Coturnix japonica: one gene and its partner. The protein of the gene in region 1 binds, or shares a complex with, the protein of each later gene. Links are inferred from orthologs where the notes say so. Each region holds a gene or a part of one and is shown on either strand. Other genes may lie near its edges.

The links.
Region 2: SYNCRIP (region 1) and HNRNPU share a complex: the UniProt entries of both Homo sapiens proteins name them as parts of the coding region determinant (CRD)-mediated complex. The link is inferred for Coturnix japonica from reciprocal best matches to the Homo sapiens genes SYNCRIP and HNRNPU.

What each region holds. Positions count from the first base shown.
Region 1 is NC_029518.1:70,024,764-70,040,156, forward strand, and holds the end of SYNCRIP (heterogeneous nuclear ribonucleoprotein Q), read left to right. Parts: intron 1-1,343; coding exon 1,344-1,479; intron 1,480-2,351; coding exon 2,352-2,557; intron 2,558-6,943; coding exon 6,944-7,093; intron 7,094-8,323; coding exon 8,324-8,445; intron 8,446-11,188; coding exon 11,189-11,783; 3' UTR 11,784-13,049; downstream 13,050-15,393. UniProt on the Homo sapiens protein: Heterogenous nuclear ribonucleoprotein (hnRNP) implicated in mRNA processing mechanisms. Component of the CRD-mediated complex that promotes MYC mRNA stability.
Region 2 is NC_029518.1:31,196,497-31,211,889, reverse strand, and holds the end of HNRNPU (heterogeneous nuclear ribonucleoprotein U), read right to left. Parts: 5' UTR 15,244-15,393; coding exon 14,523-15,243; intron 13,662-14,522; coding exon 13,550-13,661; intron 13,422-13,549; coding exon 13,348-13,421; intron 11,189-13,347; coding exon 11,049-11,188; intron 9,790-11,048; coding exon 9,690-9,789; intron 8,764-9,689; coding exon 8,651-8,763; intron 8,286-8,650; coding exon 8,022-8,285; intron 7,806-8,021; coding exon 7,686-7,805; intron 7,236-7,685; coding exon 7,107-7,235; intron 6,757-7,106; coding exon 6,588-6,756; intron 6,051-6,587; coding exon 5,811-6,050; intron 5,342-5,810; coding exon 5,139-5,341; intron 3,961-5,138; coding exon 3,889-3,960; intron 3,488-3,888; coding exon 3,434-3,487; 3' UTR 1,619-3,433; downstream 1-1,618. UniProt on the Homo sapiens protein: DNA- and RNA-binding protein involved in several cellular processes such as nuclear chromatin organization, telomere-length regulation, transcription, mRNA alternative splicing and stability, Xist-mediated transcriptional silencing and mitotic cell progression.

The DNA of each region.
Region 1 (15,393 bases):
GTGAAAAACTAATGTCAGTGTGCAAATGCAGTGTGTTAGGATAATTAAGAGGTGTTCTTATTACAAGGTGTGGGAGAGTCATTTGGATTATATGTGGAGTCAGACTTTAGTCTTAGATTTTAAAAGGGACATCAAGATAATGTACTGGGTAAAACTGACTTGTATATTCCATTGAAGAAGCATCTTTTTTGTGTCTTGTATCCAGATGCATAAGGGACTTGCTAGTCCAACTAGTTGGAAATATGCCGTTGAAAATCCTTCCTGCATCTAGAGTTCTTTCAGCTCACTTCTACAGTTGTATAGCTTTGACAGTTCTCAGTTACACAGGGTTTTTTGGTTTTTTTTCCTACATGTATGTCTAAATAATTGTACATCTTCACCCTCATTTTTAGTGCATTGAACAGGAAGGGGGTGTGGAAGACTTTGCATATGTGGGAAAGTGTGCCACCAGGCACAGAACCACTTGCTAGATTAAATAGCTGGGTTGAATTTTGAAATGCTACTCTACTGCTTGTCAATAAAACACTGACCACAAAACACATTTTCCCAGCTGAAGAACTGCCTGTTGCTGGGCTTGCAATTGGAAAAGCGTTGATGTGCCACCATTTGACCTCCTTGCTGCTTATTTGGATGATACATGTCTGTCTGCATCCTAGTGAAAGGCACTTTCTTTGTCAGCAGTTGCCTGCAGTGGTGTATATTTTTCCTCTTGAACGGCTGATATGTTCAGGCTGCGTGTTTTGGGAGAGGCATTTGAACAGAAATCTTAGGATTTCAAAGCAGTGGAAGGTTCTGCTGCTTATTGTCTGTGTGTAATCTACATGCTTTGGAAAGAATTCAGCTATTGCTCTTGCATGCTTTGCGGAGAAGACCTGATCGTGGCCGTCTGTCTTTTGTGAACTACAGACTTTTGGAAGGGAATCTGACTTTAATTGCAACACCTGTCTTCTGTTATACACAATTCAGTTTAAGAATTCACAGATGCAATCTGTAGAGGAACTTGAGTTTCTTTCTGTGCTGCTGTGAAAGGATTACTTACCCTTGCCCATTGTGAGCTGGACATAATCGTAACTTTTCATAGTTCCACAAAAAATCTAAAGAAACTTGTATTAAGAAACAGGCTTGAACAAAAACCAAAGGTAGTTGTTGGCTGTTGCATGAAGGCAGTCTAGGGAACACAGTTATAGTGCAAAGTAATTGAGTATATCTCATAAGAATGTTCTAAATGTCAAAGAACATACCACGTTACTAGGTGTTACACTTTTAGAAGTGAAGTATTTGATAGTGCTGCTGTTGGAGATGAAAGTTATCCAACTAATGGTTATCTGTGGTTTTTTTTTCAGTACAACAATCACGAAATTCGCTCTGGGAAACACATCGGTGTATGCATCTCTGTTGCCAATAATAGACTTTTTGTTGGTTCCATCCCTAAGAGTAAAACCAAGGAGCAAATTGTTGAAGAATTCAGCAAAGTAACAGGTAACGCAGTAACTGTTGTATTGAGCTGGGAAGTGTCGGATGTGATCAGTAATGAACTTTCTGCCATCTTTATCTTGTTGAATGATGATGACTGATAGGACTCAGCATTTCCCTTGACTTTGGGGATTTATGGGTTGTTGTTTAATGTACTGTGCCAAGGGCTGAAATCTGTAATTAGACTTGGTGTGTAGGTCCAGTTTTACTGAGACACGTGTAATGTTTAGAAAGGCCATTCAAACAAACGTGTGGTTTAATTCTTTCAGTGCTAACAGGTATTTCAGAAACTTTTCAAGACAGAACTGAAGCAGATTGGAGAACATAACTAGTTTTGTGCTTCAGAATTGCTAGCGTTCTGATAAGGATCTATTTTTGTTAATAGCATATAGACTTGAAAAGGTAATGTTGTATGGTTTCTGTTACTGAATGCTGTACTTAAGGTTTCCTGGAGCAACACTGAAACAATTTAGAAGTATTGAAATCATGCAAGTTTAACCTTCTGTTCTTTGGACATCCATGGAAAAAGCACATGCTGATAAGTGTTGTGACATAGGGGTTTGAGAGGAGTTACAAAATGCAACTTTATGGCTGCCCTCTCTCCTCTGGTCAGTGAGAAGAAAGGTATTCTTCCATAGTTTCTAAGCTTTCCTCACTTAATAAAAGGGTTGCTAAGCTGGGATAGACTAACATCCTTTTGGAGATGTTGCTCTTGAAAGTGTGGAAACTTTAATATGTTCATAGGCTCAAAAGTCCAGCATGATCATGCTTTTTGGAACCACTAGTTAGATGTGTACTTCCCAGAAACATAATCTCTACTTGTGAACATCAAGTCATAGACTAAAGCTATAACAAATAAATTCTTTGCTTAATTTCAGAGGGCCTTACAGATGTTATATTGTATCATCAGCCTGATGACAAGAAAAAGAACCGGGGTTTCTGTTTTCTTGAATATGAAGATCACAAAACTGCTGCTCAAGCCAGACGTAGGTTAATGAGCGGCAAAGTGAAAGTCTGGGGAAATGTTGTTACAGTTGAATGGGCCGACCCTATAGAAGACCCAGATCCTGAAGTCATGGCAAAGGTAATAAAGCTGTAAGAGAAACGTAGTAGAATTAAAATACCTTGTTCCAGAGTAAGTATTTCCTGATATTAGCCCAGGTTTAAATAACATCTGTCAGTCTTCTTGAATATAGATGTGAATTTTTAAATAACTACTGTCTGATGTTATCTCATTCTCCCAAGGAAGAATTGGTCCATCTGCTGGTGTACTTAATTTCTCCTCTGGAAGTGGATGTAGTGACTCCAAAAACACAAATAGCTTTTGTAGTTTAGGATTTGATTGCACAGAAATTTGGCTATGGTCAGAGAACAAGCCTGAATGATTTGTAACCCTGGAAATGCATGTTTATAACTTAAGAAGTGAAACATTTAAGATGTGCAGATTGGACTTTTCAGAGATGTAGCAATAGCTTTTGAGAAGATGACCAATTATTTTGTACTTTGAACTATGTATTTTTTTTTTTCCTTTCTTCATTACTTTGGCAGAGTGTTAATTCCTTAAAATGTTATGACTGGATTTTGAGTATTTCAGTTAAGCTTAAGTCTGAACTCTAAACATTGTGAAGTACACTGCAACACTTCCATTATACATATGATATTTTGCCATAGGAATTGATTGCCTGATTTTTTTTCTTCCCATCAGATAATGTCCAAGTCTGTTGTTTTCAGTTCTGTTGTGTAGCTGGGTTGTTTGATAGAAACTCATAGCTAGCTCTTATCCTCATCTCTTCACTTGCTTTTTGCCCGTGCTTTTATTTTCACCTGAGACAAATCACTTGCTGGAGTCTTGCTTTGTTGGGCCTAGTAAGATGACTTGGCTGAGAATCTCCTCTTTGCTGGTCCATAAGAAAAAAGGGCTGGAGCAGGGGCTCACTTTTAGGGGAAAAAAATAATCTGCTTTTGTAGTAAGGGCATTGCAGAAGCATTTTGGAGTACCCTGTTTTCAGGCTTTGTTTTTCTTGCTATGTATTGTAGTTGATCAGCAACAGGAAAGAATCTGTTGAGAGTGGCACTTCCTGCATCTCTGTCTGAATTTCTTGGCTCAAAAGAGAGCCATCCTAATCCAACATACTGTTAAACTAAAGAACCTCTGATGACTTGGTCACATAGTTAAGTGGGAGGTGGAAGGGACATCAGTCCCTATCAGTGTCTTTCTGTGGTAAACTTGCAAGTGTAAGGAATGGAAGACTGAAGAAATTAAAACTTGGTAGTGTTTTGTCCCGTATAATTTTTTTAAGGTGTCACCCTTTCAATACCTTGTGTTACTTTATATTTAAGTGGGAACCGTGTAGGGTTTGTGTAGGGAGCCTGCTTTGGCAGGGGGGTTGGACTCGATGATCTCTAGAGGTCCCTCACAACCCCTACAATTCTGTGATTCTGTAACTACAGGTTGGTTATCGGTGTTCCCAGCCACTGCCCTTCATGAGCAAAGGGAGAGTGCTTGACTCTTGTATGCTTCCTTTGGTAGAAGGCTCTGGGAGGAGTGCTGTAAGAGTAGAAGGTTGCTTTTATCAGGGCAATTATTTGATCTGCAGTTTTCTCATCCAAACTACTAGAAAATAAAGTCCATAAGAGCAAATGGTGTTGAAGGCAGATTTACCTTGAATTAGCCAGGGTATGAAAGTGATGTTTGAAATACCTAGCAAAAAAGCTTTTTTATAACTTTTAAGTAGTTGTGCTGATAGTTTTCTCCTAAGCAGCATTTTGATGCTGCTCATGTTTTAAATTATTTCTGTAGCGTGGTTGTGGGTACAGAGCATGTGCTGGATTGGCAGCTTAAGTAGCTAAATAAAGTCTGGTTCTCATGGCTGTGTGGTAGATGATAGGGCAGGAAATAGGGATACTAACCCCTGGAGAATGTAGTAACAGAGTTTGAAGTGCTTGTGCTGTAGGTAGGAGGAGGAAAAGGACCAGATTCAGACTTTCTGGGGGTAGTTCAATCTTGAGCAGTTCACAAGTGGGTCCTGCATTTATTACACAATGCTGCTGTGCATTTGCATGCCGAATAGCAGGGTATATTTGTTGTTAGATGTGTATTGGTGAATTCTTGGTTACAACCTCTGAGCCTTAACCAACTGCGTTTTTTCTTGAAACCTCTTCAGCTTAAATGAAATAAAAGTGATTTCATCATCACTCAGCCCATGCTTCAGTTTTTCTCTTAGCATTGACACCTGTGTCCTCCCCCCTCTACTCTGCCCTGGTGAGGCCTCATCTGGAATATTGTGTCCAGTTCTGGGCTCCCCAGTACAAAAAAGACAGGGATGTCTTGGAAAGAGTCCAGCGGAGGGCCACTAAGATGGTAAAGGGCCTGGAGCATCTCCCCTGTGAGGAGAGACTTAGGGAACTGGGTCTGTTTAGCCTTGAGAAAAGAAGGCTGAGAGGGGACTTGATCCAGGTTTATAAATACCTGAGGTGTGGGGGCCATAGTGGTGAGGCTGGTCTCTTTTCAGTAGTGCGTGGGGACAGGACTAGGGGTAATGGGATGAAAGTACAGCATAGGAAGTTCTGCACGAATGTGTGGAAGAACTTCTTTATGGTGAGGGTGACAGAGCACTGGAACAGGCTGCCCAGGGAGGTGGTGGACCCTCCTCTGGAGATATTCAAGACCCGACTGGATGCCTACATGTGCAACGTGGTGTAGGGAGCCTGCTTTGGCAGGGGGACTGGACTCAATGATCTCTAGAGGTCCATTCCAACCCCTACAGTTCTGTGATTCTGTGTTGATTGGTTCAGATACGCATTTCACCTGTAAGAACAACAAAGGTGTTAGAGATCAATGTATCCAACTGCACAAAAGAAAATTTAAACTATTTGTGTTTTTGAAAGTGTCACATTAGAGCAGTTTGTACTAAGAAATAAAGATTATAATCTATATGGTTTGTAATCATATCTGACACAGAGAATGTCAGCTGCTGTGGTCTTACTGTTGAAGGCTACTTAGGAGTCTTGTGAGAACCGTCTCTGATTTTATCCCTTCTTAAAGCACAAGAATAAGCAACATTGGTGTGAAAGATACCAGTTCTAAAAGCAGGCAGTTACGTGGCAAAACATTTGTAGTTCACTTTTTTAATTAAGGCATGGTTAAGATATCTTGCTTGTGCTAGGAAGGCTCGTTGACAAATGTTAACATGGGACAGGAAGAAGCTTTCCTTGTGGAGCTGGCTGCAACTTCTTTCATCCCCCGAGAATCTTCCAGGGTAGCTATTGCCAAAGGCTGAAGTTGATTATCTAGATCAGATTTATGGTCTGCAGTGTCCTTTCATCCCATCCTAACTCTGCCATCTAGTGAGACGAGGATTTATAGAAGTCTGTTCTGTTTATTAGTAACCTAATTACATGGTCATACACATAGTAATTATGTATTATACATACAATTAGATGTTTGGGTGTTCTAAATTCCTATACTTTGTAGGAGCAGGGGTTATAGTTTCACTTCAGAAAGTTGAAGCATGCTTTCTTTGGTTCCTTTGTAGCCTATGTTACTTGTGTTGACCTTTAGGATTGGAAATGGGAAGTCAAATACTGTCATAGAGCACGTTTGCTTGCTTTTATCACCATCGGTAGTGGGGGAGGGTGTGGACAGAGGTTGCAGCTGCACTGTAGGAAAGTAGCACTGTAACTTCGGGACACAATGGCAGCATCTGAAAGGGACTCCCAGAATGCAAGAGAGAACTCATGGGTGATGTCGTGCAAAGGTAGTGATAATGCACAGTTCATTTAGTGCAGTGCTAATGTGGGGAGGAAACAGGTTTTCAGTTGGTTGGAGGTGGCTGTTTTCTTAAACGAAGGGCTCAGCTTGACCTGTGGAAGTCCAAGAGTGGCCTGGCAGTGTCAGCCTCAATGTCCCGTTCTGTGTTTCTTCCCTCTTCTGGATGTGGATTCAGCTCACTGAGTGTTTCTCAGGCAAGCACAGTCCTGCTGCTCTAGTATTTGGTGTAGCTGTAGCTTGGGAGCCACAAGTTAAGCAGCTTGAGAGCTGCAGGCCTGTCACCTCTGACCTAGATATTACAGTGATGACTGTTCTGCAGAAACCTGTCTGAACAATGGGATGTTTTGATAAGTTAATTATTTTGTGTGTAACCAATCTCGCTTGCCTTCTTTCAAGTTTGAAGGTGTTCCTGAGTTGAAAATTAGAGCTGCTGGGATTCTTTTAAAGATTAACAAAAACGCTGTTGACTTTCAGGATGCTAGTGCTATGTAATCATGTTTGAAAATGGATCTCATATTTTTAGCAGCGAGGGATGTTTGCAGCCAACTTGTGCTTATAGGAGCGTATAAATTTCCATATCTACATACATTAAACACTACATTTAAAGGATATTTTCAGTGCTCCCAATAGTAACAACTTGCAAAGCTTTATTTTGTCTTTTGGATCACACTTCTAAATCTTAACTAATTTGTTTTCCAGGTAAAAGTTCTATTTGTCCGCAATCTTGCCAACACTGTAACAGAGGAGATACTAGAAAAGGCCTTCAGTCAGTTTGGAAAGCTAGAGCGAGTGAAGAAGCTAAAAGACTACGCTTTCATTCACTTTGATGAACGGGACGGTGCTGTAAAGGTACGTGGAGAGAGTTGTACTTGTGTGTGCATGCTCGTGCAGGTGTGAAAACAGTTACTAAATATATAGTTTAGATGATGTATTTCTTCTAACTGTGGAGGAGTGCTAAGGGTTTTTGCTGTAAACATTCATCTCTGGGAATCTCCTATAAAAAAAACACCAAAGCGTTTGTTAGCTTGAAAGACTGCATCTTAGGTGCATGTATCCTGAGTAATTCTCTGATGAGTATCTAAGATAATCATACCTGTAATTTGAAATAGAAAGTGCCAGAAGTTGAATGACTTCTCAATGAATTTTCAGTAGACGCTAAAGTCATTTCTCTAAGACAAGCAAGATTCATTTAGGTAAAAACCTATTTTCTAGGAGCTGAGCAACTTCATTTTTTATGGTGTAGAATAAGCACCTTTTCTTTTTGACAGGAGGTTCAGGACAACTGAGGAATTGTCACCCCCGGATTTTGTTAGCCTGGTCTTTTCTCTGGTCATCTGTTGTTAGGAAGGGAAAGTGCATTTCCTCTCCTGCCTGTAGTCTATTTTTTTTTATTATTATTATTTTAATGTCCTGTGGGAGGATACAGGATACAGGGGGATTTAGCTTTTCTTGTTCATCCAAATGTCTTGAAGCAGATGCTTAGGAAGATGATTGAAAGAGTCTTCTCACAGGATACACATCCTGTTGAGGCTTGGCTATGTAGAATCCTTAAAAGCTGTAGAATCTTCAGGATTCCTCTGCTTGAAGTGAACTTTTAGCAATTACTGAAACTTCCTTAATTGAGAATGAGACTGTTACTTTTTGGCTTTAAAAAAGAAACAAATTAACGTGTAAAAGCACAAAACCACACTGATTTTTTAGTCTTAGTAGTGTTTGTATTTATGCTGACAGTAGAAATATATTGCCTTACTGCAAAGTTTTCCTTAGTGTCTTTTCAGAAAGCAGTTCTGCCACTTCATTAATTGAAACAACTTGAAAGGATTTGAGGTCTATTCAGAGTTTTGAGTGGAAGATTTTTAAACTAATACATGCAGTCTTGGGTTTCAGAGTCAAGTTAAGAGGAAATGCATAACTGTCTGAAACCCATAATATTGTGCTGTCTAATTCTCTTCTTTAGGTTTAAATTGTTGTTTTAGCTGTGGATAACAACATTTAAAATGCATATTCTAAAGGATAGAATAAAATTAATAACTCCAGATATGCTTAGAAGTATATTTAAAGTCTGGTTAATTCCTTCAGGCAATGGAAGAAATGAATGGCAAAGATTTAGAGGGAGAAAACATTGAAATTGTTTTTGCTAAGCCACCAGATCAAAAAAGGAAAGAACGGAAAGCTCAGAGACAAGCGGCTAAAAATCAGATGTAAGTGTAAATGCATGCACATGTGTTGTATTACTTCTGAAAGACATGTATGATCTTAAGAACTAGAACTTCTAGGTAGTTAGTAAGTGTATCATAGTGCACATAGGTTCTTCAGCTTCTCTTAAAATGTTGGATGTGTTTGTGTTTTATGTAAGATCTCGTGGTGTTAGTTGAGAATTCAGTTACTGTTCTGCTCAAAGGGTGTATGAGCACCAGAGGAAACGTGTGGGTTCTTCACTTCTTGTTCTTAAGCTTCATGTATTTCTGCACTGGTCTGTCAGATGGATGTATTTAGTGACATGTGCTCCTTCTAGCAGTCTTAGGAGAATTGATATGGCCACCCCTGAAAGGAGGATCCTGGTATAAGTTTTTGCAACTTCCAGAAGACACATCTGTTTATGAAACTTATAAACTCATCAAGATCTCACTCTCTTGAATGCTTAACATGGCAAAAAATACATTTCATGTCACTGTGTTCTGCTTAATGTTCTCATGTATTTATCTTCTTGGGTATCTTGTAACTTTCCTAACCACCTTCCCTCCCCCCCTGTATTTCCAAAAATAACTTCTGCCACTGCTGCTGCGCAGCAAATGAGAAGACAGGATGGTGGGGTTACCAGATTACTGCAGATCTCCAGATAGTGACCTAACGTACGCATGGAACTGCTTAAGTTTGCCCTGCTTATAGGTCTTGTAACTTTCTTGGCCCTTTTGTTCTTTCCCATTACTGAAAGGAGTTGATCTCACTATTCTTGTGCTTGTATTCTGTGCCATGCCTTTTCTGTTCTGCTTATTTTGTTTGATTATGCATCTTCTTTCTTTGTACACTTTGTCTTGGCAGTAGCACAGTGAATACTTGATTAATTGTAATATAAATTGCTACTGAACGTTGTACGACTCCTTAAGGAAGGCAGTTGTCTGTGTGGTCAATAAGGGTAGTTGTCTCTGGTTGGAGATAAGTTTTCTCTGGATGAATTTGAGTAATAAGAAGTCTTAACATGGCAGTAGACTTCTGATTTTCCAGCTCTTTATTCAGGATCTGGTAATGGTTTGTTTCTGGCAGTGGAAAGGAAGATTTTCATAGGGGGTGTTTGACCAGCTATAATGCTCTATGACTTCCATTCCCCTGCCCCTAACTGTTCTTTGTCTGTGATCTGACATCCAGTATTGCTACTTCTGGATATTGCACATGTATTTAGAACACAGGATGTCTTCTTGCTGTGTAACAACTCTAAGAAGAACATAATAATGTATGTGTATGTTATTTCCCCTGCCCCCTTTAAGAAGCTCGTGTCTAAATTTGTGGATGTAGGTGAAGCAGGGTTTCCTCTCTTGTTTTTTCTCTAGTCAGAGTTACGGTACTTTCAGTCATTCAGTCCCTCTTTCCAGTTCTTTCATTTGGGAATTTTCTATATTCCTTTACTTTTAGGAACTATTGAGGCATCTGAAGTAGGAAAGTTAGTTAGGAAGGGAAGTTAGACTCATTAAGCTCCGGGCTTATTTGAATTTTGGTTATACTATTAATGAGTGAATTGAGAATTGTAAGGGCTTTTGATTTTCTTAGGGTTCTAAAAAGGGAGTAGAGGGATATGAATGTTATTAAGTCTGTATTGTAGTTACATGAGAAGTTTGAAATGACATCCTAAGGTCTAAGAGGTAACTTGGAGTTTGTACTCCATGGTTGTAAAAACGCTTCTGACTTTCTTCTGGAAACTTGCGCATGGCTGTAGATTCAATCTGGTTCATGCATTTTGTGCTTAGTGCATATAAGGGACTTTCTAGTGAGGAAAGTGCATTTTGAATCAGTCTTTTCCTGTTTGAAAGCCATCGTGATTGTCGGGGTAGAACTTTTTAATGCATGAGTTGCGTTAGTGGTATTATTATATTTGAGGGAGAAAGAATGTGAATGAGATCATAAAGTTTGCGATGATTAGTAAGTTGGCTCCATCCTAGGTTTGAAGGGAACAGTTCAAAAGTCTTGACAATAGGGACTTCATTAGGAAATAAATACACATAAAAATCACAGTGATGTTGGAGAGCGACACATCTGCATCTCTAATGGAATGAGTACCCTTTGGTACTTAAAGTATGAACAGTTAGTAAGAAGATAGCAGAATTCCGGCTGAAACCTGGTGGTGATTGTAAGGTTCCATAGCGGCAGAAAGGTCTGGATTGGAAGGCAATATTAAAGGTCTTAGCGATCATTGATAATGTGGGCAGGTGTAAAAGGCATCTGAATGCATTGCTACTTGGAAGAGAAGTTGACTATTTAAAGGGGAGAAGCACTCCAACGATTGGAGAGTTGAGGGGTGTGGGCAGGTAGAATAGTGGTAATGTTACATAGGAGTTGATGAGACAGTCATATAAATATGCATTTTAATAATAATAGCGTGAGAGGATTAGGTTTCAGTTTGCTTGGTCTGCTGCTCCTAAACGAGGGCAGAGTTTCGTTGCGTAGTACTTACTTAATGAGAGGAAATTTTCTGTGTGGTAGGGGCAGAAGTAGATGATTACCTTAGGCGTTAAGTATTGCATTCATAGAAGAAATGTCACTGATAATCAAGTTCCTTAATATTAAGGTTTTTCCTAATGCAGAAGGCAGAAGTGCTTTGTAGAAATCAACCTGTCGTGATAATAGCTACCTGTCACGAAGTAGTCATTCTTGAAGTAGAAGAATATTATGTGCGCGGTTGCTTAGTAGTAGTTCCTTCGAAATCCATGTCGTCTGTTTCCTTTTTTCTAGGTATGATGATTACTACTATTACGGTCCACCTCATATGCCCCCTCCAACAAGAGGTCGAGGCCGAGGAGGCAGAGGTGGTTATGGATATCCCCCTGACTATTACGGATATGAAGATTATTACGATTATTATGGCTATGACTACCATAACTATCGTGGTGGATATGAAGATCCTTACTATGGTTATGAAGATTTTCAAGTTGGAGCTAGAGGAAGGGGTGGTAGAGGAGCAAGGGGTGCTGCTCCATCCAGAGGTCGCGGGGCTGCTCCTCCCCGTGGCAGAGCCGGTTATGCACAGAGAGGTGGTCCTGGATCAGCAAGAGGCGTTCGTGGTGCGAGAGGAGGTGCCCAGCAACAAAGAGGCCGCGGGGTACGTGGTGCGAGGGGTGGCCGCGGTGGAAATGTAGGAGGAAAGCGCAAAGCTGATGGGTACAACCAGCCAGATTCCAAGCGGCGCCAGACCAATAATCAGAACTGGGGCTCCCAACCCATTGCTCAGCAACCGCTCCAGCAAGGTGGTGACTATGCCGGTAACTATGGTTACAATAATGACAACCAGGAATTTTATCAGGATTCTTTTGGGCAACAGTGGAAATAGAACAGTAGGGCTTCTGTAAAAATTAGAGACTGATAGGTTGATCAGAAACTGGCCCTAAATCTGAACGGTTGCCGCTATAATTTGTGACATCTGGCAAGATGCCCTTTATGTATATATTTTAACAATCCGCTTGGACGTGAACAAAGCCACACTTCTAACTGCTTCTGGCGAACTGATTTTATTTTTTATTTTATTTTTCAATAAAGGCATTCTTAGGTATTACAAAAAAAAATAATAATAATAATAGTTGAGTTTGCATTACTGCTTGGGAAAATTTGGCTCAAGTCTATTTGGCTGTAGTGTATGCTATGTTTCCAATAGTATATAGTCTTGGTGTCTATGAAAGGTAGTTGATAAAATCTGAGTGTCTTTAATAACTTGTATCAGAGTAACTATTTGTATGTTACCAACTTAAATTGCTAGAAAAGGTAAATTGATACACAATTGCTTTTTTTTTTAATTTAGAACTTTGACCTAATTTGGTTTTTTCAAAACCATTTTGGCTACCTGTATTCTTTATGCTGTTGTTACTTCAATAAAAATTCACACCTAAGTGTACACTTACTAAAATTGTGTTTACAATTCGTTTTTGACAAATTTTACTGCAAATTTGGTTCAAATTGTGTAGCATGTCAAGGCCAATTAAAGGGTTTTGTGCCTTGTCGCTGTTGTGTGGAATATGTCTGGCACATTACACAACACGGACTTACTGCAGTTTTCTGCTCCTGGTTGAAAAGTGCTAGTTTGCAACAGACTTCATGTTCCCACCAAATGCTAAAGTAGTTCATGTAGTAAGTTAAGTTGGTAAGTATTTAATTTGAAACAATTGTTTACGTAACAAGCTGTAAAGAGGCAGCTTAGAATTGTCAATCCTGCAGAAATTTTTCTTTAGCGTTTCAAGGTCAGTTTTGGCCAAAACAAGTTAACGTAGCTTTTACAGTTTCTCTTTCAAGTAAATGAATTCAGAGCTATAATTTGGTTCTATTTTGCTGGTAGTGAAACCGAAATGCTTGAATTTAAGTAGACTGTGGAAACCTGTTTAATACATGAGACTAGAAACAGGTAGAAATTAGTGGAGGTATTGGAAAAGCATGAATGTTGGAAATTACCAAATGACTTGTCTGTTAAATCCTCTTTAAACCTCCATACGTCTGTTTAAACTTTGCCCCATTTATTTCCAAGCAGGTGCGCGCGCATATGTATGTACATATCTATGAAATATGCATTAAAAACGATGGGTGAGGTTTAGAGCCCTGATATAATATATAGAGACTTTTTTAGTCTGTTTCTTCAGTGGTGCTTTTCAGCTCAATGAGTCGTCTTGAAAACTGCCTTGAAAATGGTTGCTAGGTATTTTTTCATTTTGGCACTGCTCTCTTAGATTCCAAACTCTATATTAAATAACAAAAAAAAAAAAAGAAAAAGCATTAAAAAAAGGAAGGATTGCACCTGAGCAAAGATGTGATCTTTTTCTTTTTAAAGTTATGCCTAAAGCAGTTAGGTTGCTGAAATTCAAACTAGATCACAAGTCACATTATGCTTAGACTTGATTCAATTTTCAACATGTTTTCATGATGACTGCAACCGCAGAGTTTTATATTACTGTTATTGGGACTTTTCTATAATGTAAAGTTGTTTGTGACTTAGTGCGCAAAACCTTAGCTGGTGATAACAAGGTTTAAACCTTAACTTTTTAAATAAAATCAGTTTGTGACAAAGTGGTAAAACACTCCTAGCGAAATTGCAAAGTTAGTGGCAAGCAGAAGGCAAAATGTTCACCTAGTAGTTTTCTTTTAAAGTAATTCGTTTTGCTAAGATTTTATGTTAACAAATGTACAGACCAGAGTTTAAAATGATTTATCTAATTGATTCCTTTTGTTACCTGGCTAGCAGGGAAAAGGGGTCGAGGCCGGTCCTGACCTGTTACAATGAAGACTGACTTGCTATGTGGGATTACACCAGAAGCTTGCAGTGGAGTAATGGTAAGGAAATCAAGCAACCTTAAGTATCTCAGCTGTATAGGAGCATATTCTGTTGCAAAAGACCTTCCTGCGAAGATCATGGATTCAAATATGGGACATTTGAACTAATACTTGGACTTTGAAATGAATTTCTTTAACAGTTTTCTCTGCAGTGCAAGTTATTAAACTAAAGCTACTCTATTTCCCCAATGTGTTCAACAAAATCCTTAACGTCTAGCATGGTATCTTAATAAAGAATAAAGTTGTTCTTTAAAAAATCTGCTTTAAGTAGATTTTTCCCCCAAGTTTTCTTAGTTAAGGATTCCGAAAGTGGTATTCATAAATTCTTGCATTGAAATTGTTATTGCAGTGGTATAGATGAATACCATCGTTGGTATCCTTAAATTTTATTTCTGCTCATGAAGGTTAATCATGATTGTTTATATAGTAATCACTTATGAATTGTGTTCAGATACAGCAGTTTCAGGTGTAATCATCAGAGCTGGTTAGTCAGGCATTCCAGATAGTGGTTCTTTTCAGAACCTTTTTTAAAGGGTTGGTTAACTACCTCAGTAGCAGAGGATTGAACTATACCCTGTCTGTACTGTACATAGAAAATCTTTGTAGATAAAAGCAAGGCTTGTTTAATATGATATGAGGGTAAGATTATAATATACCAAATGTAACATTCTTAGTTGCCTTTAGTTCCAGAGGCTTTGTAAGACTTCCTCATGACCATCATAACAGGCCTTGCTTTTGTCGTATTTTGTGGCTGAAAAAGCAGCCTTGCTTCTTCAGATATTGTAGTTATTTGGATGTATAATAGTTTAGCAAGATGTTACTTTTGTAAGACATCAGATGTTCAAAAAAGTGCATCAGCAACTTGTACTAAATACTGCAGTGTCCCTTTATAAAAGGTCAGACTAAAACTGACAACTGTACAGTGAAGCCTGACATTTGGATATTTTGAAGTTTTTTCATAAATCATAGAATAGTATATGGCTGTAGTTTAGCTTTTTAGGTAAAAGGTATGTTTTCATTAGTGCATTTCTTATTGCTGATCACTGTAAAAACACGTGGATCAGCTTTCCATTTCTCTTATGCAGATCATGATAACCTGTAGAGTAGAGTAGAGTACAATCATTTGTGCTACGTTTTTAATTTTCTGAAGCACCTTGATGACAGTGAGTGTTCAGTGGTGAAGCATCCTCTATTGAACCACCCCTAAGGAAAAGAAAAGAAAAAAAAAACCACAAAAAATAAAATAACTAAAAAAACACCAACTTTGCCAAGTCCAACTTCGTATAGGTAAAAGATAGTTTAAAATTATGACCTGCGTTGGACTTGGCATAAAGAGCTTCCCTTAACCCCCTGCCCAAAGGGATACTGCAGTTATACTACATACCCATAGGCACCACAATGAAAATTGAAGCTTATACCTAATTAAGGTTTTATACACACCAGTTCCCCCCAGTAAATGCAAATTTTAACAAAATTAGACATGTCATATGTTGAAAATGCTCATGGCAAACAATCATTTTGCATTCCTGCAAATAAAATTGTTTTATACTGTAAGCTGGAGGCGAGTGTAACTTATTTTTGTAATAAAGTTTTTATTTTTTTTATGTGTCATTAATATAAATGTGTGT
Region 2 (15,393 bases), about 39 Mb from region 1:
GAGGGAGAAGGGCAATTTTGGAATGTTTTAGCCAGTCAAACATCATTCTGCCATAGGCACGAGGCACACAGGCTCCACCACATGGAGACCCCACTGCCCAGTAACCCCCAGGCAGCCCAACACATGAGCAAAGCTGGCTTCTTACAGCAGGGTTTGGCTCTGAGGACAGGGCTCCCATAAGGAGTTCCAGAGAGTAAGCTAGAATCCAGCATCCCACAGGTAAGGGCCCAACCTCAGGTTACCTGAGAATGCTTCAGTGCCAGGCTTGAGGTACTCACAGAGCCCCAAGGACACAGCCTCATGCCAACAGCAGGGTGTGAGGGGAGCTCCCGTGTTACCCCACGTACCCTAGCAACTGCTGTGCGCAGTGACTCAAAGACAACACAAGTATTTGTTGGCTTTGCCTTCCAAATGGAAGCCTTCTGTCTCGTCTCCAGCATGGCCTCATACACACGGCTCTACAGTAAAGCAGCCATAGCTGCAGCAGCAAGATGTGAGCAGGCCCCAGACTGGGCTGCAGGACACAGGCAGCAGTGCAGCCCTGCTCCTGAGGCTCAGACATACAGCAGCCACCACGGTGCTGCTGTGGAGGCAGGGCCCAGGCGCTCCAGCTTTGGGCTGCATTACAAGGAGCCCCAGTCCTCACCACCCTCCTGCCACGGTGTTATATGCCACGAGCATGTGCTACACCCCCACCAGCACCACAGCTGCTGGAACAGGCACCTCTCCTCCTGTAAACAAGTCCTTATAAGCTGTGAAGTTACTCAATATGACAGATGGTTCAGCCCTGCCATGCTGACAACATGCAGCTGTGCTTTCTTTGCATCGATGCTACTAAGTTACCAGACTTTTTCAGGGAAATAAATGGCAATTGAAGTTAGTTGGAACAGTAGCGATGTTCTAGGTAAACAATTTTCAAAACAAATCTCCCTTTTAGCAATAGCTACGCTAAGATAAACTAAAGGAAGTTTTCCCTTGTGGATGAACCCAGGCTGAACCAAGCCTCACACAAATGAAGGCCTGCTCTGCAATGAGCACAGCAAGTACTTACACTCACATATCACATTTCTGAACTAACTGTTCCTCGATGGCACATAGAAGCTTTATGTTTCTGTACCTGAAATCACAGGGAGCAGTTAGTGCTGAGTACCTTAAGGCAACATTCCTCATTTAGGAGTATTCTTAGTTGAGACATACTCCTGTTTCAATGGGAAGCCACTTCAAGCCCTTCCTCTCCACTGTGGCATTAACACCGTATGTTGAAAAGAGAAGAAAACAGCCCAGACTTTTGCATTAAAATACAAACTTTACAAGCACATAGTAAGTGTAGGCTCTTATATTTCAGTTTAAGACTATATAATTTTATAGAGTACCAAAATAAGCAAAGGATCAGCACTCCATACAAAGTGTTAGGTTCTTAGGAGGAAGGCAGAAGGGAGGTGGAACTTAATTACACTAAGATTTGCTTTGCAAGTCTAAAGAAAATTCCATTTCAGCAAAAACAGTTGGGTTTATATTTCCCATATTTCTAGTTCATTAAATAATGTTTCTTTAAAGACAACTTACATTGTTCTTGTTCAAAGTAAAGGGATGATTTAAAGCAGTATTAACAAGGAGGTGGTGCTGTTAATGTTTAATGTCAATATGCAATGTCATCTGCTATAAAGGCTAGAAGAGCAACACAACTTTATCGTTACTTTCAAGGACTATTAGAAATCGACTAACATTTGAGGAAGGTTTCAAGCACACTACACTGCCTCTAGCTCTACGCTGCTGCTGGGAAAGCCTCTGCAATCTACTGTACACTGCCAACAGGAACTCGGCACACCAGCTCCAACTCCCAGCTGCTGGCAGCAATGTTTTCACATGTACGCTGTCAGGCCAACACCAAGCAGTTGTGTTTCTTCCCTGACTCATGGCATTAAGATGCAGTAGGTTATTAGCTAACATTATCGCTACAGTATTACAAAAAGCGTAAGTCTGAACAAAACAGCAGTTAAAGCGCTCTGCTTCACTTCAGGAGTCGTTCTGTGACAACTCTCCTCTAGTCCCTGCGGTTTCCTCCTCTACTTCTTCCCTAGTTTCTATTTTACAATAAATAGATTAAGTGGATTTACATGATGCAAGTGAAACTCAGAAGACTTCTGCCCTATGCATGTAACCGTTAAGCTGTGAGATTATACATGTGACACACCTCTAACAGAGCAACCACTGGTTTAGAGTATTAAAGAAACACAAGTATTTCAGCATGTACAAAGTAATGAGTTCAGAACTGTCCGACATGGTCACTTCCATACATTCTCTTCCTCTTTATAGCGTTAAAGGGATTTTAGACCTTGATGGCAACAATCCCAAAGCAAGAGTAAAATGAATTTATTTTATTGCAAACAAACGTCTAGAGTTAAATTTCTCCACCCACTTTCTTTAAAGAGAAAAGGAATCAGCAGGCTGAGGAGATACACCCATTTGAGAATCGACATGATTAAAAATTAGATATAAAATGGGTGACTCACAGTTTCATTAGCTTACAAAATGGTGGAGTAACTACTACAAGCACACTAGGTATACAGTATTTGGTGGGGAAGTTATACAGACACACAGCTAACTTCATATAGATCCCATTAGACAACTGGATTTACAACAAGTTTTGTTTAATAAGAAATGGGCAAAGCCAGCTTCTTTTCAGAATCAAAATGCAGAACAAATGGAAAAGAAATTATGGTGGTGTACCTTCACAAGTTTGAGCCTCCACAAGTAACGCAACCAAGTTTTACAACTTTAAGAGCTTCTACATACACTCCACCTTCACTATTGAGCTCCAGGTTTCCTCTTCACCCCCAATCTCATCGAGTTCCAAATGTTACAAAAAAGTCCTAGTTTATTGCCAGAAACTTTTACCACCCCCTTCCCACCTCCCCACACAAAAGCTTTATAGAGAGGATGGAGTGTAATATGGAGCTTTACATTATATATTCATGAGGGCTACCAAGGAGCCTCCACACGAATCTGGTTGCTCGTATTTCGATCGTATTTGTGACACGACTCACGACTGTTTCTTAGAAATTGGGGTAAATGGGGGGAAAAAGGAGAAAATTCTTTAATAAAAAGACACCAGGTACAAAGCAACGTTTTACTTTTGTTGTGGTAAAAAAAAAAAAAGTCACATTTTACAGATAAAATGTAGAACCCTGAAATACTGACACATTCTCTTATCGTGCACAATGCTGAGGTTCTCTTACGAATCACTTTAAAACTGCAATTAAAAATGTACAAAAAAAAGAAAAAGAAAAAAATCAACCCACAAAGCTTCTAAAAAAGGAACCCGCAGGCACTTCCTCTTGTGGAATGTTTAAAAAGTTAGCCTACTAAAGAAAACAGTCGACTTCTTGTGAAGGTTTGGGAGAAATATGTATCAGTTCATTTATTTGGGTATTCAATAATATCCTTGGTGATAATGCTGACTCCATGGCTTCTGACCCCAGAATTGCTGCAATAAATGGATAAATAGTTAATTTAAGTTAGTTAAAATAGTTAATTAAGTTAGCACATAACACGCTTCTTAGAGAACGAGTTTTTAAACACACATTTAACTTATCCAGGAACTTGAGATTAAAATCGTCTCAAATAGCAGCAAATCCCAGAACAACTGGAGGTGGTTACGTTCATTACACAGTAGTAACAGAGCCAAATACTTCAATGCCATTAAGACCAACGCGCCATAGCTGATACTTGATATATCAAGCCAGATCAAGCTTTGCAGAACTATTTATAATATTACTTGGCATTAGAAGATTCTGCTCTCTGGTGCTGGTTACACATTAATTTCCAAGCATTCTGAAACACTTAACAGTCAAATTAAGAGGAAAAAGTTTAGTTATTACTACTTACACCCTGCTGCCACTGGTTGTAGCCCTGAGATTGGTTTTTGTAGCCACGATTATTCCCCCTTCCTCTGAAGTTCTGCAAGAGGACAACAGTTTTGAGCCACCTCATCCATGCAGACTTGGCAGAAACACAGCAACACCAGTCCTTCTACTGCCACCAAAACACGTGCCATACCCAATCTTTCAAGTATCAGTAACGGGGCTGGGTTAAATACCAAAAGCCAGCCTCAAGCAGCTGCCTCTTAAAACCTGCCTGTTTAGTGGCAGCGGTTTTACCCCAGACACAGACTACAGTTGCCAATGGTTTGGAAAGCTGGCTAATCCAGTTTTGACTCACCCTATATCCAGCTACTAAACTGCACTAGGACAACTAAAAATACTAGAGCTTGCCTATTTTTAGTTAGGGAAGATTGTAGTTGCTATGTTATCTGATCGGACAAAAGGATATGGGTCATACAACTTAAAATAGAGGAGTTAGATCACAAAACTTTAAATAAAAGCCTTTGTACAAAAGACTATCTATGATAAAATACTGCATTTCCCATTTGTGTTAGACAAACCTGAGCCATGTTTATTAGCTTGGGCTCCATCTACTGGCTCTTCAGTAATCAGAATCATATTTTCAAGTGCTTTCACTGATACTTTGTCAGTTTAAGACCAAAGCTAGCATGTCTTTCATGATTTGATACAAGATGTCAATACAAAGACTCCTTCCAGAGCAATTTCCAGAAAATTCTTTAAATGCCATCCACTTTATCTTCTGAACAGATACACTCTGCCCTTAAGGTCAAACAACAGTTACTGATACTGCAGGTTGGACAGCATGAGGGAACAAAACCACCTGTTAGTATGGCTGCTCTTATACGGACTTCTGCACAATTTGTGCAGTATCAAAACCCAACTCTAGTTAAACTCAAACAGTTGGACTATAAGCCAGACTTAAGCATAAACTGCACAGGGTAGACCCACATTCTATAAATGAAGCTCAGACTATGAAGTGCTTTACAATGGAACAGAAACTCTAAAAACCTTCAGCTTTATCAGGACTAAGATAGGCTTACTAGGAAACCACTGCATCAGCATTCACAGTTCTTACAGCTCCAGGCATGTACTCTTAGCTAGAAAGTTAAATCTTTTGCTGTGGAACTAAGTGTACCAAGCTTGCTACTATCCACAGCTAACAAGCCTGTCAACAACAGAACAGTATCCAGAGTACTGCATATCAACTAGTAACTCCTCCATGACAAGCATTACCTGGTTGTAGTTTCCCCTGTTGGGCATTCCACCTCTGTTATAATTTCCTCTGTTTGAGTAGCCACCTCTGCTAGGAAAGACAGGGCCACGAGGATAAGGATAGCCAATGGCACCGCTGCTGCCGCCACCACCGCCACCTCCACCTCCACCACGCTGTGGCATATTGCCTCCCCTCCTGTTGTATCCACCTCGATTGCCTGGGACTGCAGAGAAAAGTTTGCTCAATTCAAGTACCTGTTAGGCCTTAATTGTCTCTCACGCAGTTACAGCTTCAAACAAAGACTCTTAAAAGGTGAAAAAACGAGATGCCAAAATTCACTGCAGAAGTTCCAATGCAAACACTTCAAAATAACCTTTTATCCATGACGGCCAAGCAACATAAAGATACCAAATGCCCCCTTAATATGGCGTTCTACACAAGGAAGCACCAGATTTACTGTAAGAACTTAAAATTGTACCTCAAACTACACAAACAGCAACATTTTTTGTGAAGCTCAGTTGTAACGTGTCAGAAAATTAGCTTTGCACTAAAGGTCAAGCTATTAAAAACTTACTGGAACTGAAATCGATGATACTGTCACAGAATGGATGCAATTCAAATAGGACAAGCTTTCCTTTCTTATTTTTGCAATCCGTTATCCCCAACATTTATACACTTATTTCTAGGCTCACCTCCTCCTCTGAAGTTGCCACGCATGTTGAATCCTCCACGCCCCCTCTGCCCTCTATTAAACTGATTTTTATTGCTCTTCTTGTTTTTCTTTGAGCCAGTGTTCTGTTTCTTTTCTGGCGGAAGAGATTTCTTACTTTCTTCTTTATATTGTTCCAAGAGTTTCTGAGCTTCTTCTTTTTGCAATTCTACATAGATTATTTCATCAAAACATTCTGCTACCTCTGGCAGTGTGAAGTTCCCTATAATTGCAAAAACACTGAGTATTCAGCATCTCCATTCAGCCACAATTCAAGCTGCATTTAACCACCTTTCTCTCTCATTCTTCCTCCCACCCCCAACATTCTCTCAGCATAGGGACAAAATTACGTAATTTGAGCAGTAAAGAAAGGTAAGAGTGACAAAAGAAATAAAAGGGTCTCCATGGAGTTGCCAGTACTGTTCCAAACCTTGAAAGCATTCTGCCTATGCTTTTTTTTTTTCCCTTTATAAGCCTCCACTCAGAACATCAGTTTCTGCCAAATATGTCACTTAAATAGGGCACTTTATGCCAAGACAGCTTTGTGCATCTGCATGAAGCATATCAGCATAAATGAGTAGTGTTAAGGACTGCAGCAGAGGGAACACAATATAGTGTTGTCCTACAAGTTACAATAGTCTTCCAGTTTTGTTTAAGTACAACTGTTTAAGATAACGTAAATTTTTAGATTTCAGGTTTACTTAATCCTTTAAGCAGATATTCAGCATCCTAAAACACAGTATAGGATTATGTTCCATGCCTTTCATTTTGAGAACTGCATGCTCTGGAAGATCTTTTCCCTCCACCTCTGCCTTCTTTTGTGTTCTTTGCTTGTAGTCTTCATCTTTTGGGCAAACAACAACTGCTTTGCGCTGGAAGCCTGCAAACAGGCACATTTTTCTCCTCTGCGCAGCTGCAGACACATTTGTCTGAAAAAAATGCAGTAACTTACTACACGTAGCTGTCATTGTAAGAGTTAAGGAAGTCAACTTATGGTGTATAGACTTCACCTCTACAAGAGCTTGCATTGAAGTTTACAAATAACTGGACATAAAGAAGCTGCATAATGCAAAGTTACGAACGAGCTCATATCAAAGTGTTACACTATTCCTCCCACATCCCATAGAAGTTCAGAAAAGCATTTGCAGTAGCATCTCAACTTTGCACATTAAATCAGTAAGTGAAACAACCGCTATTAAAATATAACTTTAATCCCACTTAATTACTACATTACAGCCTATAGCAAAATTCCTTAACAATTTTTTACTGAAGTTTCTACCTGATCCAAAATGAAATTCCGCTTCTTACGAGCTGCAATCTCAATGAATTTTCCAAGACACTGTGGAGCTCGCTGCAACAGTGTGTTAAGCTTCCCAGTGTCTGCCATCTGCCTCTTAAAACCTGCAACCTATAGAAATTTGAGTTATAGTAGACTCAGTACACACAACTGATATTTTGCTCTGCTAAAGTTATTTTCAACTGGCTTCAGGGATACAAAATACATAAATACAAACTTCCGATTCAGTTTTTTTCTTTTATAAGCAAAGAATTTGTTTGAATTGATACAGCTGAATCTGAGGTGTACTTGTATTACTGACTCCAAGCTGTATTTTCTGTACTGAGGACGGAGACAAACAAATGGGTAAACATCAATTACTTCCTGATTGATATTTATTACATAAGAAATTTCAAAATCTGGCTATGCTGTGTATGAGAAGTAGCTCAGCACGGTAACATCTTTAGCACTCACAGTCAGTCAAATAACGATCACGTGTTTCTTAGATTACTTAGACTGAAGGGAATTCCCTGGCAGCCAAGGACCTTGGATTTACAGCAAGTCTTTAAATGATCAACTTACCATCATTTTGTCCATAATAGTATTCGTCCCAAGAATGTTGTACTTCCCAGGATTTGCTGCTGCGTGTTTAGTTACCCATGTAGTCTTGCCAGCTCCAGGCAATCCAATCATCATCACCACCTATTACAACACATTCCGTATTTGATGCTAGCTCACAGATATTCCTTAATAAGCAACTAAGCCTAGCAACCCTAATGGAAATCTAGTATGGAGAGAGGCACAAGCTACTCAGTATTAAATTCTTCAGACAGAAAGGTGAATTTTCTTTAACAGCTTAAAATACAACACTTGGGTTCATCTCTCCTCAACAACTTCTGAGATAACCAGGAAACTTACCTCACAATCTTTCTTTTGCTCAGGTCCTTTTGGTCCTCGAACCCTGTCTTCCAGGGGGACCTTCTGGATGAAGGTATACTCTTCGGGTACAGGAAAGTAAGGTTCATCCTTCTGACCAAAGTTGAACTCAACTGCACAGTTATGGCAGAGAACATGTGGAAAGAGTGGGCGCCCATCAAGAACTTCCTTACTAATTTTGAATGCAACACCAAGCTCTTGTCCGTTCTTGGAATACGAGAGCTCCACTTCATCACCATCAAAATTCTGTTTCACAGACAAAGCGTTAGTTTGTGTAAAAACATGCACACTGCATAAAAACACATTAATATTTCACCACACTGGCTGTATTTATATAACTTCTAATAACACCATTATAAAATGAGTAGATCCTTAAATTAGGAAACAATCTTTAAATATCAATGATCGTGCTAAGACATGATTATTCTTTTCAAAGCCTTGGAAAACATGAGAAAGGTTGACAGCAGCCACTGCTGCTTATACATGCTACTTCTACCTTCTCAGTACGCTAAATAACTTGTCTTTCTTCAAATCAACCGCTTCTCACATCAAAGCAGCCTGAAAATTAAAGGATGTTTTTCCTCAAGAGAATAACTTAAGAGAAAACTTACAGCAAAACATCCAATCACATCATTTTCATCAAACTTCTCACCAAAGTCTTCAGTCTCACAATTGCATGTCTTTATTCCCTTTAGAGAATAGCCGTAAGAAAATTCTTCTTCACCTGAACAAGAAATTTAAACTTTGTAATAATACGTATTTTCTTCTAGCTGTTCAGAAACGCAATTACTTCACAATTACTTAAATGAACTGCTGTTCTAAATGTTTTCATTGATGCCAAAACAAGTCATCACCCTCAGAATAGCTACAGCTGTTTCTTGCATTTAAGAATTCAATAGTGTCATTTAAAATGGAACAGCAGTTTTTTCCTCACCCTAACCTTAAAAGCTTTATGCTACTGGTTCCAGATTCTTGGTGACAAAATGCTGAACACTTCTAGCTAAAGACATGAGTAAGTATTCTTAAACCCTGAAAACCTGTTTGTGAATCAGTATACCTGTAATGCAGTTAGTCAGAAAGGCATTTCTGAATTAAGTCTCCAGCAGCACTTACCCCTCCCCATTTTAAAGGGAGTTTAGCAGACATTCAGCCTATGCGACAGCTGAGGATGAAGCTGCAAGGAACAAGCTAACAGCAAACGTCAAACACAAGAACTCAGATGGAATTTAAGTACGTATAACTAGAAAGTTGCTGCTATCAGAATACCCCTATTCGTACACATTTTTCAGACATATCTCATCAGCAGCTATTAGTTAAAAATACAGTAATTATCTGATCCCACTTATCTACTGAAGTTGTTTTTTGTTGTTCCAGCTGTTTAGAAATAAGACTCCCCAACTCCAAGAGAATAGTAACACAATTATCTACGAATTTTCCTTCTATGCGTAAACCTTATAATCTCAAAATCTTAAATAGTTAACCTTGTTTGGTCCCAGTACTAAACTTCCACAACATCCATTAATAACTCAAAACCCCTTTTCAAAACACACGGGCTACAATCGTTCAGTTTTACAGATGCTTTTCTGTTAGTCAGACAGGAAAATTTCAACCACAGACAATATAACACAGAAGAAAAACTTGAGGTCTTACCGAGCAACATTCCACTTGTGTTCAGCGACCAGCCAACTCGCACCTCATGTATATCAATGTCTTTTGTATACAGGTGTTTAACAGGAATCTTTTCTGTAACCTATTTTTAAATTATTCATTAAAAGTTATTGAGTGTTTTTTTCTAAGATCCCAACAAGAAAGAAGCAATGGTAACATCCAGAACCTTTATTCTCTGCTTACATCTTTACAAGTCCAAATAACAGTTTTTTTGCTTAAGTACAAGACTTAACCATGCCTGTGAAATCACAAAGCAGTCACTAAATGTTCAAATCCCTTGACTGACGGAGATGCAAAACATCACGTACCTTCAGAGCACTTAATCACAGCATTCTCTTGATAGTCAAAAATATCAACCCTCTTGATACTGCGTTAAAATTACAGCCCGCAAGGAATATAATCAATTAGAAACTCTGCTACAACATCGGGATTAACAGCGAATTGCTTTGCCAATAAAGTGTGGCATGAGATGAGAACACTTCTCCAGACAGACCCAGGGAAATACTACACCCTTTTCCAGAGAAAGCAGAGATCCCAGGCAAATTGCCAACTACCAAACAACAGAACCAGATTCAAAAACCTCGCCTGGGAGCACTGCGAGCTGGAGGCAACCAGCTCCTCTAATCGCCTTGTAGAAAATAGCATCAAATTTAAGTGGGGAAAAAAATCACAGGCCACTGGTTTCCACAAATATTTGAGTCATGTGACCAAGGGAAAGTCTGAAGAGTAACAAGACAATAAATACAATGTTTCATGTTCTTGTCCTCCCAGAGTTACAGTCACCAATGAATGGGATCACTACCAACTCATATGTGAGCAGTTAACATTTGGAAGTAGTAAAAAAGTGAACAGAATAAGCACATGTCCACACACATCTTCAGCAAATAAGGCTTTAACGCTGCTAAAAATCAAGATGTTTGACTTTGTGACTCCTGATTTTCTTCCTTGACAAGTGGGAGGAATCTGTTTCTTGTAAGGCTGATTGCCCTTTTCCATTCCAACTCAAAAGTTTGGTAAATCCAAACTTCTGTAATCTTCATGAAGTAAACACAAGTGAGCTCCCAACTACTATTCTAATTCTTTATGTTCTGGTGCATCAAGTGCCGCCTAAAATTCTCTGTTTAAAACTATGACAGTAAGTTACGTTGTCATGTCAAATGCAGCTTTATTTTCAAGTTAATTTCTTAAAGAGAGAAAGCAGTTTAGCAAATTAAGGCATCTTTCATTGAGAGCCATTTCTCTGCATCATTACATAATGCTTTCTTTAACATCTAACACTGAAATATAAACACTGTAATATTTAACACCTAAAACAGCCTCCCACAAAAATGAAAGTCTTACCTTCATCTCGAAGCAGACTTTGCCTTTAGAAACTCCATAGGAAGCTCTCCCCCCAGCCCAAAGGAAAGCAAAGCTTTCCATGGTCAGTGAGGAAGCACTAAACCGGTCTCTTGAGATTTTAAAATGCAGGTCACAGTTATCTGTTAACAAAAATTATTGCATACTTCAGTTTAAAAAACAAAAGAAAAGCAAAACAAACCCACAAAAAAGAAAAGCTAAACACCAACAAAGCAAAACTTTCTCATTTCATGCATTAAAAGTGACTCCAGTTTTCTAAGGTGATTTTAAGCTGCCATTTGGTAAAGGCAGGAGGACAACTGGACACATGCCAAAGAACTGAGGTAAATGCAACTAACAACAAACATGATTTGCATGGTGCCATCTTCCACTACTAAGTTCCCAAGCTTTAATAAATACTTGGCTTCCATCTCACCTATTTCAACCTTTTTTGTCAGTTATCCAATGCAGTGTATCTGGAAGATGCATGCTGCTCTCAGAGCTACTTGCTAGATTCCTTTTTGTCAAGCCTTACCCCTAATGTCTGAAAGCACTAAGTACAAACACGGGTATTTCTGTTTAAGTACTGGAAGTAGTACCATCTTCAGGAGATATACAGTCCTTTAGCCAAGTCCAATTAGATTAAGCCAATAAAATAAAGTCAGTTAAGTGCAGATAAGCACACAGCACATGGTAAGTGAGCTCATTTCGTGTAAAAACAAAAACCCAAACCAATCATGATCTGCAGCATGAACTCAACATCCTGACAAAACCCTAGGAGCCTTAAATGGAACCTCTGTTATATAGACATCTTCGGGACTGCTGCACTGTAAAGTCTCAGATTTATCTTCCAGTAGCTTTCAAAATGACAACACAAAGTGGGAACGTGAAGTGCAGGATATGGCACTTGAATCCCCCAGAGTAAGGAATCCACAGAAGAAACTCTGAACCTATTTGACAGTTACAAGAAAGGTGTGAAATTAGCAACCAGAGTATCTTCCGCCTTAGCAGAAAGTCTACATGATGCCCGCACATATTAAACTGCAGTTGTCCCTGTATTACTGGTAATTCTCAAACAGGAGATCTTGTTTGCACAAAGCCATCTGTGGCTATAGTTAGGACTTAAGCATTCCCATTAATACTTCTAGTTGTAGCAGGAAAGCCAAACAAAAGCAATCTGCAGAATAAAACAGTGTAGGTTACTTTTAAAGCAACACACAACAATTTCTAGCCAAAATGTTCTTCTAAGACACAAGAAGCACTTAAGAGCACTAAACCTCTTATACATGGATTGTCATAGTCAAGAGAGCCAAGCTGTTATACAATTCACTCTTTAAAGCTGTGCTTGATGGGGTGCTCCCAACAGCCTGCTGACACTTTCAGTTACTGTTTGTGGGTAACAGAAATTTCTACTAGATACAATAATCAGAAGTAGCTACCAGTCAGTTATTGGGAGAGTTAAGGACTCCCACAAAGATGGCTACTCACCACGTTGGAAGATAATGGCATATTCAGCAAAATACGTGGCTGTAAACTAATGCCTCCTTCCATTTCAAAACATTTCTCAGGAAGAAAAAACCTGAAACTACTAGCAAATATGCCAAATGAAGCCAAAACTTAAGGTCGCATTTCATGGAATTTAAAGAATCTGACAAGTTAATGCATTACCTTAAGTTTTAAATTCTACAGTAACAACTGATACTTACCCATAAGAACACAGGTTTTTACCCTGGTCATGGTATATCACAGCAGTACTTACACAAACCACCTCCAACTCTCAGAATACACGAATGGGTCATTTAGTTTTTTTCCCAGCAGACTTAAGCTGATTGTTAATTTGTCAGAAAACAGCAGAAGAAACCCCAAACTTGTTGATACATCAATAAGGCTTCAGTGAGTTATGCAGGAATCTCAGTCCAGGCGTTTTACTACCATAGCTATCTACTATTGGTTCTTTAAGTGAGAAGCTGATGTGCTGTTATCAGTTCCTCAGGTTGTTTCAAGCATCACCTATACATACTGAACACTCAGTCAGTTTTGCCATATGCAACTCTACCATTTCAGTTAGGATTTCTTCAGCAAATTAGCACATCACATACTTCCAGGTAAAAATTTAGCTGAATATTGTTAATATGAAGACTAATATACCTTTTGTATGCTAAAACGCAAGGATCAAACATTTCTATGTTGTCTGGTAATGCAAATCACCAAACAGTTTAACCCCGTATTTCTGAAATGTGGGGCTTTAAGCTTAAAGACAGTTTGGTATCCCTGCAGACCAAAGGAAAGCATGGCTACTCACAGGTATCGAGACACACCACTGTGTCATCAAAGTGTTCATCTTCTTCTTCAACAGGTGGTTGAGGGGACTTGGCCCTAAGAAGAAAACAGTGAAGAATGAAGCCAGGCGCTCTTCCAATGTAAGAGGAAACGCTTTTTTAGAGTAAGCCCATCTTACCTCTCCTCACTCATACAATGGTGCCCAGCATTGAAAGCTTATTTACCTGCTGTACTTATTTTCTTCAATGTATTCAAAATATCCACGGCCGTGGTCTTCACGTGGTCTCTTGACACCCCTCTTTTTCTCACCGGGTTTTTGTTCTGTTTTGCCATCTCCTGTAACAAAACCGATGACTTTAACACCACGGAATAACTCTTTAGTCGGAAATAAAACCCAAAATATATAAACCCAAATAAAACCCAAAATAAACCCAATAAAACCCAAACAATAGCAGCTCACGGCAGAATCCCGTTTTTCACTACAATAACAACATCATGGTTTCGAGTTTTCCCTGCGCACTCCAAACCCATCCGCTAAACCAGCGATGCACCGCGATGCCGAGCGAAAGCCCGTCCCTCTGGGTGCGCTGCGCGGACACAAAGCGCTGCGGCTCCGCCCGTCCCGCAGCCCGCCGGCTCCACGCCGCTCGCAGGGCCCCGTGGCGCCGAGCACTACGGCGCCGCCTCTCGGCCGCCGAGCGCGGCGGGCTGTGGTTGCGGGGCCGCCCTGCCGCCCGCGGGGCAGGGATTCCGCCTCCGCCCGCCTCCATTGTACCGAGCCTTCCCAGCGCCATCCCGAGGAGCCCCGGCCGGAGGTGACGTCAGGCGGCCCGGCGCCGCTCAGCACAATACAGCGCGCCCCAGCGGCCCCTCGGTGCCCGCCCCTCCCCTTACCTCCCCCCCCCCCCCCCCCCCCCCCCCCCCCCCCCCCCCCCCCCCCCGGTCCCTTCCCCGCCCCCGCTTCCCCCGCCCCGCGCCCGTCCCGCTCCCCAGACCCCCCGCCCCGGCCTCGAGGGGACCACGCGGCACGGGGGCGGTAGAAGCCCCCTCCCCCAGCCCTCCTCGCTCTCCGTCTCCCCCGGGGGAGGCGCCCGCTCGCGGCCCGCAAAGCTCCGTGCGGCCCGTTGCCCCGCTCCTCGCGGCCGAGGTGGAGGATTAACGGCTCCCTCCCCCCCCTTTCCCGCCGCGCACACTCACCCGCAGCCGCCTGGGCCCCGGGGCGGCCTCCTCCGCCGCCACCTTCCGCTTTCTTCTGCTGCTGCTGCTGCTTGGCGGGGCCGGCCGGGCCGGTGGATGCGGCCGCCGCGGGTCCCGATGCGCCGGCAGCGCTCTTGCCCGGGGCCTCCTTGGCGGCGGCGCGCGGCGCGGGCTGCTGCTGGGCGGGCTGCTGGGCCTGGGGCTGCCGCTCCCCGTGCCCGTTGGCGTCCCCGGCCGCGGCCTCCTCCTCGTCGGCCAGCTCGTCCTCCCCCTCCTGGAAGCCCTGATCGTCTCCGTTCTCATCCTCCTCCTCCTCCTCTTCCTCCTCCTCGCCGCCCGCCTCCTCTTCCATCGGGCCGCCCCCGGCCCCCGCCCGCTCGCCGTTCTCTTCTCCCAGCTCCATGGCGTCGCCGTCGGCGGCCTCCAGCCCTTCCTCGTCGTCGTCGTCCGCCGCCGAAGCCGCGGCCTGCTCGAGGCCTCCCCCCTGGCGGAGCTGCGCGGCGCCGCCGCCGCTCTCGGCCGCCTCCCCCTCCACGCTGCCGTTGCCGGGCTCGGCCGCGCCGCCGGCTGGGCCCCCCCCGCCGGCCTCCTGGTCCAGCGCGGCCTGGAGCCGCTCCATCAGGTCGGCCTTGAGGCCCTTGTCGGAGAGGCGCCGCTTTTTCAACTCCTCCTTCAGCTCCGACACCTTCAGCTTCCTCACGTTGACGGGCGAGCAGCTCATGGCGGCGGCGGCGGCTCGATCCCTGGGCGGCGCGCGGGGCGGCTCTGGGCTCGGGCGGGCGGCGGCGGCTCTGGGTCGAGGCCCCGGCGGGAGGCGGTGGGCGGGTGGCGCGGCTGGTTCGTGCGGCTGCGGCAGCTGCAGAGCGGACCC